Linked DNA regions of Arabidopsis thaliana. The protein of the gene in region 3 purifies or fractionates together with the protein of the main gene of each other region. This does not show direct contact. Each region holds a gene or a part of one and is shown on either strand. Other genes may lie near its edges.

Evidence for each region.
Region 1: the proteins of THO1 (region 3) and RLK902 fractionate together in Arabidopsis thaliana (co-fractionation; one large-scale study listed by BioGRID). This does not show direct contact.
Region 2: the proteins of THO1 (region 3) and AT1G36240 fractionate together in Arabidopsis thaliana (co-fractionation; one large-scale study listed by BioGRID). This does not show direct contact.

What each region holds. Positions count from the first base shown.
Region 1 is NC_003074.8:6,451,243-6,454,614, reverse strand, and holds RLK902 (Ribosomal protein L7Ae/L30e/S12e/Gadd45 family protein), read right to left. Parts: upstream 1,313-3,372; 5' UTR 1,179-1,312; coding exon 1,052-1,178; intron 957-1,051; coding exon 745-956; 3' UTR 597-744; downstream 1-596. Other genes in the region: WNK6 (with no lysine (K) kinase 6), read left to right, coding at 1-308; TSK (tetratricopeptide repeat (TPR)-containing protein), read left to right, coding at 1,570-1,836, 1,961-2,761, 3,273-3,372.
Region 2 is NC_003070.9:13,612,879-13,616,634, reverse strand, and holds AT1G36240 (Ribosomal protein L7Ae/L30e/S12e/Gadd45 family protein), read right to left. Parts: upstream 1,746-3,756; coding exon 1,725-1,745; intron 1,644-1,724; coding exon 1,538-1,643; intron 1,457-1,537; coding exon 1,355-1,456; intron 599-1,354; coding exon 530-598; intron 443-529; coding exon 402-442; downstream 1-401. Other genes in the region: AT1G36230 (uncharacterized protein), read left to right, coding at 2,584-2,608, 2,725-2,806, 3,134-3,204, 3,278-3,355, 3,440-3,556, 3,654-3,756.
Region 3 is NC_003076.8:3,064,854-3,068,609, forward strand, and holds the start of THO1 (nuclear matrix protein-like protein), read left to right. Parts: upstream 1-1,724; 5' UTR 1,725-1,961; coding exon 1,962-1,964; intron 1,965-2,063; coding exon 2,064-2,147; intron 2,148-2,223; coding exon 2,224-2,298; intron 2,299-2,394; coding exon 2,395-2,497; intron 2,498-2,657; coding exon 2,658-2,803; intron 2,804-2,882; coding exon 2,883-2,954; intron 2,955-3,080; coding exon 3,081-3,153; intron 3,154-3,243; coding exon 3,244-3,309; intron 3,310-3,405; coding exon 3,406-3,452; intron 3,453-3,641; coding exon 3,642-3,713; intron 3,714-3,756. Other genes in the region: AT5G09850 (Transcription elongation factor (TFIIS) family protein), read right to left, coding at 1-368. UniProt on the Arabidopsis thaliana protein: Acts as a component of the THO subcomplex of the TREX complex which is thought to couple mRNA transcription, processing and nuclear export. Contributes to the integrity of the endogenous trans-acting small interfering RNA (ta-siRNA) pathway.

The DNA.
Region 1 (3,372 bases), on a different chromosome or scaffold from region 3:
AGAAACAAGAGGAGACTGTTTTTCATGATACTTGTGAGTTGGTTAGTCACTCGTGTAACTCAGATTGCCCACGATCAGATGAGGAAGATAAGCAATGCGTCGATGCCACCAAAGGAGAAGACAAGAGCTCCATTCAAGAAGTAGAAGAAGCAACCGAACCAGTAAGTTTGGAGGAAGAAGAAAGGTTAAGACAAGAGCTGGAGGAGATAGAAGCTAAGTATCAGGAAGATATGAAAGAGATAGCAACGAAAAGAGAAGAGGCCATTATGGAGACGAAGAAAAAGTTGTCTCTGATGAAGTTAAAGTAATAGCCAAAAAAGCTCAAAGAAAACGTTGATACTGATGAAGAGCTTTTGTGTTTTTAATCTCTTTTGTTTAATTTGTTGGTTGGAGGAGAAGTGTAGAAAGATGAAGGGTTTCTATTTGATTAATTGAGATTTAATTTGGTTGGTTGTTACAAGTTAGAACATAAAAAATGGTTCCTGTTAAAATGTTCTAAGAGATTGTCCATTATATATGATTTTGTATAAATTGAACATGTAATTAGTTAATAGCCAACTATTGTAATAAAAGTAATCAAGCCTTTTCGTGTAAGGAATCAATCAACAGAGACGAAAATGTAGTAATTAATTATAACCATTAAGAGGAAGTCGGGAAACCAAAGAAATCTAACATTAAGTCTTTGAAGAACACAAAGCATAATCAAGCATAGAGAACAACATGGCAAAATCATCAAAATCAGAATCACTGATCTCCAGGAAGTGTCTTGATGATGTCGGAATCACCAGGATCAACGATGCTGAGGCAAGAAACTCGGAAGTATTTACCACAAGCAGTACCCAAATCAACATTGTTGCCATTGTAGCGATGAACTCCAACTTTAGCAAGCATCGCATAGTATTCAATCTCTGACCTTCTCAACGGTGGGCAATTGCTAGATATCAATATCAGCTTACCTAAACCCCCCAACAATATCCAACAATTATTCAACTAAATTACGAGGAAGACGAACACTATAATCAATCGATGAAGAGGGATTTTAAATTTTTACCTTTGGAGCTGCGAAGGGATTTGAGAACAGACTTGTATCCAAGAGTGTACTTTCCACTCTTCATCACAAGAGCTAATCTGCTGTTGATTCCTTCATGGGACTTCTTCGCCTTCTTCTCCGCAACCATTTTTCACCGCCGGGAAGATTCAGATCGCAGGTTTACAAGAGAGAGTTCTTCTTCGGGTTCGGGCGGCGCAAAATGATAGTTTATATAGCGAGTGCCTTAGAACCCTTAGGGTTTTTTTGTTTTCTTGTCAGGAGACAGGAGGATATAAGAAGCCCAAAATAAACTCGACCCAAGGCCCAAACTAAAAGGCCTATAACTTCAGGATTTAGGGTATGAAAATTTCTAATTTACCCTTGAATTTTGGCGGGATAGTTTGGGATGGGACCAAAAATTTGGCGACTGGAGAAAATGAGAAAATCAAAATCACTGAGAAAGAAATTTCGAGAAATCTGAAAATCGGAAGGAAGAAAACAAAAACCTTTCAATTGAAGAACGGAGAAATCATCATCCGATGGGTCGATTAGATGTAGCTGCGGCGAAGAGAGCGTACCGGAAAGCAGAAGAAGTGGGTGACCGGAGAGAACAGGCGAGGTGGGCTAACAATGTCGGCGATATCCTTAAGAATCATGGAGAGTACGTTGATGCTCTCAAGTGGTTTAGGATTGATTACGATATCTCCGTCAAGTATTTACCTGGGAAAGATTTGTTACCTACTTGTCAGTCTCTTGGCGAGATCTATCTCCGCCTCGAAAATTTCGAAGAAGCCTTGATTTATCAGGTAAGCCCTCTTGAATCAATTGCTTTTTCCTACTTGGTTATTGTTGGCTTCCTGAATTTTCCGTGAATAATTTTGGTGTTTGAGTTTTTCATTTTGAATTTGTGTTTTTTTCTGGTGGTTGCAGAAGAAGCATTTACAGCTAGCTGAAGAAGCTAATGACACTGTGGAGAAGCAAAGAGCATGTACTCAACTTGGACGTACTTACCATGAAATGTTCTTGAAGTCTGAGGATGATTGTGAAGCCATTCAGAGTGCTAAAAAGTACTTTAAGAAAGCCATGGAACTTGCACAGATTCTCAAGGAGAAACCACCTCCTGGAGAATCTAGCGGATTCCTTGAGGAGTATATTAACGCACATAACAACATCGGTATGCTTGACCTTGATCTTGATAATCCTGAAGCAGCCCGTACTATTCTTAAGAAAGGGCTGCAGATTTGCGATGAAGAGGAGGTGAGAGAGTATGATGCTGCTCGGAGTAGGCTTCATCATAACCTTGGAAACGTTTTTATGGCGCTGAGAAGTTGGGATGAAGCAAAGAAACACATTGAGATGGATATTAATATCTGTCATAAGATTAATCATGTCCAAGGAGAAGCGAAGGGGTATATCAATCTCGCTGAATTACACAACAAGACCCAAAAGTACATTGATGCTCTTTTATGTTATGGTAAAGCTTCTAGTCTAGCGAAATCTATGCAAGACGAGAGTGCATTGGTTGAACAGATAGAGCATAATACCAAGATAGTCAAGAAATCCATGAAAGTTATGGAAGAATTGAGAGAAGAAGAGCTTATGCTTAAGAAGTTGTCTGCAGAAATGACTGATGCCAAAGGCACTTCGGAGGAACGAAAGTCTATGCTCCAAGTAAATGCTTGTCTTGGAAGTCTTATTGATAAATCTAGCATGGTATTCGCATGGCTGAAGGTGAGTTTTATAACTTAAACACTCCTTCCTTTTTAGTCCTATCACTCCACCCCATGTTCGCATTTATTTGAAAAGTTTCCAGAAGTTAAAGTTGTCCATCGTAGGGGTTTTTAATGATGAATAAGCATTGTGAGATTTCATCAGGTAGTATGGAGTAGGAAAAATATGCTATTTTCTTAGATTTGATTTAAGTTTTGTGAACTTCTGCTATTGACACTGTCTTTTCAGATCAGTCAGGAAGACTATATTATCAAAGAATTACATGATTCTTGTTCTCTCAAGAAAACCTATCTTTTGAATGCTGGGATAATATCTTTGTTCTGAACTTGCAAAGTAAAGTTATTATGTGGCAAAACGATGATTATTCTGTATCATACGGATACTGAGTGATCCAAGTCTCTGCATCACTGTTTCAATGACTTGTGATATAGTTTTGAAAGTTAAGTAGGAGGCTGCCATTTGAAGTTTGCATGCAACTAAAGGGTTGCTATTTCTTCTTTGAATGTCTTAGCATCTTCAATATTCAAAAAGGAAGAAGAAAATATCAGATGAACTCTGTGACAAGGAAAAGCTGAGTGATGCCTTCATGATTGTTGGAGAATCTTACCAAA
Region 2 (3,756 bases), on a different chromosome or scaffold from region 3:
GAGATTATTGAGGGACACATGTATTAAACTATTGGTAATAGATCCTACCAAATCTAAAAGAATTAGGTTTATTTTGAGAAAACTACATAGATTTCTTGTAATATTTATTTTAGACCTAAAACATGTGTTCATGCCAATGTTAACTATACATAGAATTACTTTTTTTGTCAACCTATATATCATATATAATACTTAGTGACTGCAGGAATATCATTCTAGTATTAATTCAGAGAGTCGAAATTTTCAATTACCACAATTGTTTAGAAACCAAGACAACCTACAAAGTCTTCAAAGATCTTAAACAAGTATGACAATTCTAGACGAGAGAAGAAGAAATCACGAAGAAACACACTACTTCGAATAAAGTAGATAAAGAGGACAAAATGATAATTAAGCACAAATCACTGGTCTCCAGGAAGCGACTTGATGATGTCAGAGTCACCTGAAAATATTGCATAAGTAAACAAACCAAGATTAACATTGCATGTGTAAGATGATTATTCTAAAAGACAATGAATGAGTGTGTTACCTGGGTCAACTATGCTGAGGCATGACACACGGAAGTATTTACCGCAGGCAGTACCAAGATCAACATTGTCTAAAAGGAACAAGTACAAAAAAAAAAAATCAGGCAATAAAATAACATAGTTGCAGAGACTCATCAAAAATAAACAGTTTCTGTAGTCTTAAGTAACATAATCAAGGTTTACAAGACTCTCAAAGAAAAAAGCAAGTAAGGAACAACTTCTGAATCACTGGTTCTCACTGAAATTGGTCGCTAATACCAGAAAACATAAAACAAACAATCACTGGTGCAGGAGGAAACTGATATGATATAAGTGAGTTCAGGCTTTTACACCATTTAGTCCTTACATTAAAACAACTACAAGGATCACCCTAATGGATTTGTAAGATGCAAAATTACACACTCTATCTACACAATCCAACATATACAAGACTTTCAGGAACATATCATTTAAGTATTAAGTGCATTCCTATTGGGGAAGTGCAAACAGTGTAAAGAATTGGTCACTAATACCACATACACACAGAACAATCATAGACCATAAAGGAAACTAATACAATGACACCAAACTGTTTCTACTAAATAATTTGCAACACTACACTCTCTATCTATACAATACGTACACAAACTTGGGAACAGATCAATTCAGTATTGGAGCATTTCAAATGGTGAATGAGAAGAGCTTCACTGTCAAATCCCACAGAATAATTTGCATTTCCACAACTATTTCTACTAAACAATCCTAACTACATTCAAACAAAACTGTTGTACAATGATACTAAACCAGTAAGGACAAATGTATAGTCTTTGTTCATGAAAAGAACTTACTTCTATTGTAGTGATGAACTCCAACTTTAGCAAGCATAGCATAGTACTCAATCTCAGATCTCCTCAATGGTGGGCAATTGCTAGATATCAATATCAACTTACCTACAACACAATCAAACAACAACATTCAAAAACCAATAGCTTATGAATCAATAAGCTAACAGAGAAGTTTGTTTCTAATACCTTTGGAACTGCGAAGAGATTTGAGAACAGATTTGTAACCAAGAGTGTATTTGCCACTCTTCATCACCAAAGCCAATCTGCTGTTGATTCCTTCATGGGACTTCTTCTGCAAGAAATGGATTCAACAAAAAATCAGTACACTCAAAAATTTCATGGATTGTGGAATTAGATCAGAGAAAAATCATACCGTCTTCTTCGCTGCAACCATCTTCGCCGGATTTTGACTGATAAGATTGAGAGAAATGAAACCGGAGAATCAGAAATCGGTGAGGGTGGAAGAGAGGAATTGTGTGAAAGAGATCGGAGATTTTTTTTACCTTCGTTGCCTTTTAGGGTTTGGGTGGCGCAAAATGAAAAGTGAGAAGTAGAGAAGAGAGACTAAAGGAACCTTTTAGGGGTTTTGAGAGATTCACTAATTAGGCTTAGGAAATTGGGCTTTAACGGACTCTTTCTTTATATTTTGCGTAGAAATATATATATCTTTTTTTCAAATTCAGTAAAATTTAGTTTTAATTCTTCAGTTTATTATCAATGACTATGAGTATGAAATGGACCACTATAAACATAGTTATTTTCGTATTTTTAAATTAATTTTTATTATTATGTAAAATATTATTTAGTCCAATATTATTAAAGAAATTTGGTCAATTTTACCACTTTTAACCAAAATGTTTTTATTTCTAAAGTTATTTACAAAAAAGTACTAAAATAATTGTGCCTTTCGGAAATAGGCACTCCAACTTATGTCTTTCGGATTTGAGTATTTCTCTCTTTGTAAATTACTCTTTCATCTCTCTCGCTATCATCATTCACACTGTTCCTCAATATGTCTCTCACCTGCTTTTGTGCTGTCTACGAATAAAAATCTCCACCCTAAACCTACTTCTTCACTTATTTCCTACCATAGCTCTCTGATTTCTTCATTCGATTGCAAACGCAATTACCCACCCCAGTTCTTGTCCAATGCGTGCCATTTTTTCTCTACACCATCGCCATTGTTCTTATTTCTGGCCTCCATCAGGTGATCTTGGTTTTAATCGACTTCGATGGTGACAACAAGGAGTTACCGGCGTTAGAATTCTAACTCGCGTTCCTTCCCACCCTCCGTCAAGCGAGTCAAACCCTACTTCTCTTGGAAACTTCTGCCAACTTCTACTCCTTCTCGAGGGCGTCGTAGTACTTGAAAGGGGGACACAGCTGTACAGTTGTTGATCCAGCGAAATTCGCAAATTCTGCTTCGGATCTCGACGCAGAAGATCTCAGTTGCAGGTATTGCCTCGGATACATCCTTCTCCTACTACTAATTTTGTTCATCTCCCGTTTGTCAATTTTGCAAACATTGCGATTTTTCTATAATTTGGCACAACAATTATGTTGCCTCTAGTATTTCTGATTGCATCTCCTATTATTAGTGGGACTCAATTACATCCCCATTCCTTCAAATTTGTTACTTCTTACCACTTTAATTTGCCTACATATTCTAACAGCTAATTTAACTAGTTATGCGTAATGGTGTTCTTTACAATCTAACGTGATATTGAAAATATTCTTCTTGTGTTACTAAAGTTTCCTTTATTGTGCCCTCATCCATTCCAGTAACTCCAACTGCAACAGAGATGTTTCTGTTTCACATGAGATAAGTGTTGATAGTGATGTGTCGTCTGAAGGTTAGGTGTGACAAATTTGGGGTATGTACACAATTTGCTTGAAAAGTTTTATATATGATGTGTGTTCTTGCAGCTCCGTCTGATGGTGATCCCAATCTTACCTCATCTAATGTAGATGCCATATCTGAAAATGGACATCGTTCTTCTGAAGGTTATAAACCTTGCTTTATTGTTGTTTCCTCTTCACGTTGTTTGCATTATATCAATATTTCTATTTATTTGTTCCTTCTCGTAGCAACAACAAACATCTCTAGCCCGCTGACCTCATCTAGTCAAGGTGGTTCTGTTGGAAACGGAGATGATCGGAGTGAAGCTGCCATGAGGGCTGACAGATATATTTTATCATCAGACGGTTAGAACCAGCATTTAGTGAATGATGTGCCTAATTTTGTCGGCTGCTTAACATGTCTTTGGGCTAATGTTTGTCATTTTAATGTCTTTATTTGCAGGCCCAACGCAGCATATCAACGGTCTAAGCTCATATAATGACGGTTTAACTGATAGAAATGTAGATGAGAAGTGTGAAGGTGACAAAAGTGTTGATAGAGATGT
Region 3 (3,756 bases):
TCATCATCAAACAAACCAGCAAAGGGATCGAAATCGTCATCGTCTTCAACATTAACAGATTTCTCTCTAACTTCTTCTTCTGCTGCTGCTGTTACTCCTTCTTCATCTTCCTCCTCCGTCTCCTCGTGAACCCTCCCATTATTAACCCTACCAATCGCCGCCTCCGTAACGTTACCACCGCCGCCAAAATCGCAGTTTCTACACTTGTTAGCCATCGACGTAGCGTAGAGACGCTCGACGATGTTATCTCTCCGACGTTTCAGTTCTTGACCATAGTCAAGAGACGCAACAAGAATCGCCGTATCGATAAATGTCCAAACATCAACACCTGCGTTATCCATAACCGATCGGAAATCATCCAAATCCATTATCACCCACACTCCTCCTTCTTCCCCAAATTTGGTTACTTAATAAAGAATTCAAAACGAAAAACAAAAAACAGAGCAAATCGAATTACGTAACCAGATCTAAAAGATGAATCTTTTGATGAATTTGATTCATCGGAGATTAAAAATCGTGAAGAACCAAACAAAGTTTAGATTTCAAATAGTTTAAAAGATAGACAAATAAAAAAAACAAAAAACAGAAGAATCAGATTGGTAAATTCAGATTAAAAAGGAAGACCCTTTACTGTTACGAGGAAGAAAGAAACAGAGGAGGTCGTCTCACATAAGATCAATAATGAGTAAATGGCAAATTAAAAAAAAAAAAGGGAATGAAGAAGAAAGGGAATATTCCAAATTTGAGGCTTTAGAATTTGGTTTGGAGGGTTATTGCTTTTTCTTTCATTCTTCTGCAAGTTTTTTTTTGTTTGGTCCGTTAATAAAAATAATATTCAGACAGAATCAATTAACAGTTTTAGGACAAAAGTAAAAGAAGAAAATGGGAATTGCTTTATTGAGGGATGATGCTCTTTGCCCTGGACAGAGCAAAGCTAAGCAAGTTGGTTTGTTGTGGTTGGGGAGATGAACAGCTCTAGAGAGAGAGAGAGAGAGATGTGAGTGTTTTTCTTTCAATAATGGCGTTTACTTTTTTTAGTTTTTCTTCAAGTGACGAGAAACATTTTACATGTTTCGACTTTTTTGGTTATTGGGCCTCTAAATTTTTGGCCCTATAGCAAGTGGACCCAATATGTCAAATCAATATTTTCATTTGGTCTCAAAGTGTTTGTTTCATGACTTTCATCTCATGAGCCACTGCCACTCACTAATCGTTTAGTGAATTTACGTCGACGGTACAATCAAAACCCCCAAAGAGAAGATCACATCCGAGTTTTTAGGTGTTGAAGGAGGTGTTCGATCCATCAAAGTTTACTTTGTTAGGAAGTAATGTTTATTTATCACTTGTTGAGTGTAGATTATGAATACAATGTCTTTTATGCAATTATTGGAACCTAATATTTATCTCGAACAATTTCGAGCAATTTTTGAAATCTTCAAATCCTTCTCATGTGAGCTATTATGATTTCTTCTGCAATAACATACCATGAACAATTTCGAGCAATTTTTGAATACAGATGTTTTAAATTTCTAATTGATTTGATTCCACACATTAAAACTACGCCATATCCAACATATACAGGCAAAGGTCTTCTGTAAAACTAAATAATGTGAAGCCCACCACCCAACGGATATCATTTTACTATGAAAGGCCCAATGAACATGTTGTTATTCAGTTTATAAATTAAAAATATTTCGGATCCAGATCCAAGCCCGGATATTTGCGGATAATTTGATTGTTGGGAGGATATCTTCCGGATCCGGATCCACCCTAAATTAAAATTGTTCTTCCTCCACTCTTCTTCAAGTTTGGCCTCCGTTTCCAGATTTTTATTCAATTCTTCTTAATCAACTTTTAAAATCCGGCGACTCATAGTCCGTGAATTTTGACCGGCATATCCGGTTTTGGTGTCGTCGGTAAATTCCTCTTCATTGCAGTGGAAGCTGGTTCATTGAGAAATAATGGTAACTCTTTTGGGATTATGAGACTTGTTTTCTTTTGCTTCTTGTTAAATCTATATAGCTTATAAAAACTTGTTTTCTGCAATTTGTGGTTCTTCGCAGGATGCATTTAGAGATGCTATATTGCAGCGAGCTCCAATTGAAACCTTTGCACTCAAGACTGTTCAACACTTTATACAACCTCAGGTAACTCTTTCGAATCAACTAACAATTTCTTCACTCCTTTAGTCTTACTTATTGTCTTTATTGTAAAATTTGACAGAAACAAACAAAGTTGGCTCAAGATGAAAACCAAATGCTTGAAAACATGCTCCGGACATTGCTGCAGGAGCTAGTGGTCTCTTCTTTCTCCACTATTATATTTTCGTGGTATGCGTATATACTTGTTCATTTATATATGTGTGGATTTCTCTTTCTGTTTTCGGGGTTTCAGGCTGCTGCTGCGCAATCAGGGGAGCAAATTATGCAGTATGGTCAGTTGATTGACGATGATGATGATGATGATGATATACATGGACAGATTCCTCATCTTCTAGGTTAGCAATCTCTCTAGTCTGATTTGCATAGTTCGTTCAAACAAGTGCTAGCGTTGTCCCCGTAAAACTTCTTATTCTCTTGTTGTCTATTGCTTATCATCTTGTCCTCACTACTTTTGTCTAACCTCTCACCATCTTCATGTTTTGATTGCTTTGTTAGATGTTGTGCTTTATCTTTGTGAGAAAGAGCATGTAGAAGGTGGCATGATATTCCAGCTGCTGGAGGATTTGACCGAAATGTCTACTATGAAAAACTGTAAAGATGTTTTCGGTTATATTGAAAGCAAACAAGATATATTGGGCAAGGTATTTCTTAAACGAAATCAAATTTTTTCTCGGTTAGTTGTATCTTGTATTTTGACTTGGATGTTGCAATTATTTGCAGCAAGAGCTTTTTGCACGCGGAAAACTTGTCATGTTGAGGACTTGCAACCAACTTCTCCGCCGACTCTCAAAGGTTCGCTATCTGCACCCTTTTCTAGTTCCCTTTGTCAAATATCCATAAGTCATAATCTACTTTTTCATATATAACACATCCACTCTTTTTTAATTCTTTTTTTTGCTTTCACTATTTGGCATACAGGCCAATGATGTTGTATTCTGTGGAAGGATTCTTATGTTTTTGGCTCACTTTTTTCCGTTATCTGAGCGCTCAGGTAAGAAGGGTTTCTCGTGCATATACGATTATTTGGTATGTGAATGTTTAAAAGGTGTGTAACGTTTACTTGCGTGACTTATTCTTTCAGCCGTCAATATAAAAGGTGTTTTTAATACATCTAATGAAACCAAATATGAAAAAGATCCTCCAAAAGGCAAGTGATTTTTTTTTTTCTTATGCTTTTGGTCCTTATCTCCATATGACAATTCTAAAACGTGTTACTTATTCTGTCTATGTCATTGCTTCTCAGGCATTTCTGTAGATTTCAACTTCTACAAGACATTTTGGAGTTTACAGGTGCGTATTAGTTAAAGGAACTTTGTAGGGAACGAATGTTATGCCTTTATCATAAGGGTTGTCTCATAGAACCTCTGTTTGCATATCATGCAAAATCAACATTACTGGAGATAGCATCTCAAATTTCCTTTTGTTAGTTAGTTTATTGAGATAGTTCTTTTCTTACTGAGAAAATTGTTTCGTTTCCAGGAGTATTTCTGTAATCCCGCTTCTCTTACTTCCGCATCTACCAAGTGGCAGAAATTTTCATCCAGTTTGGCGGTATGTGATCTTTGGTTTTTGACTAAATTGCATTACCTGGTCT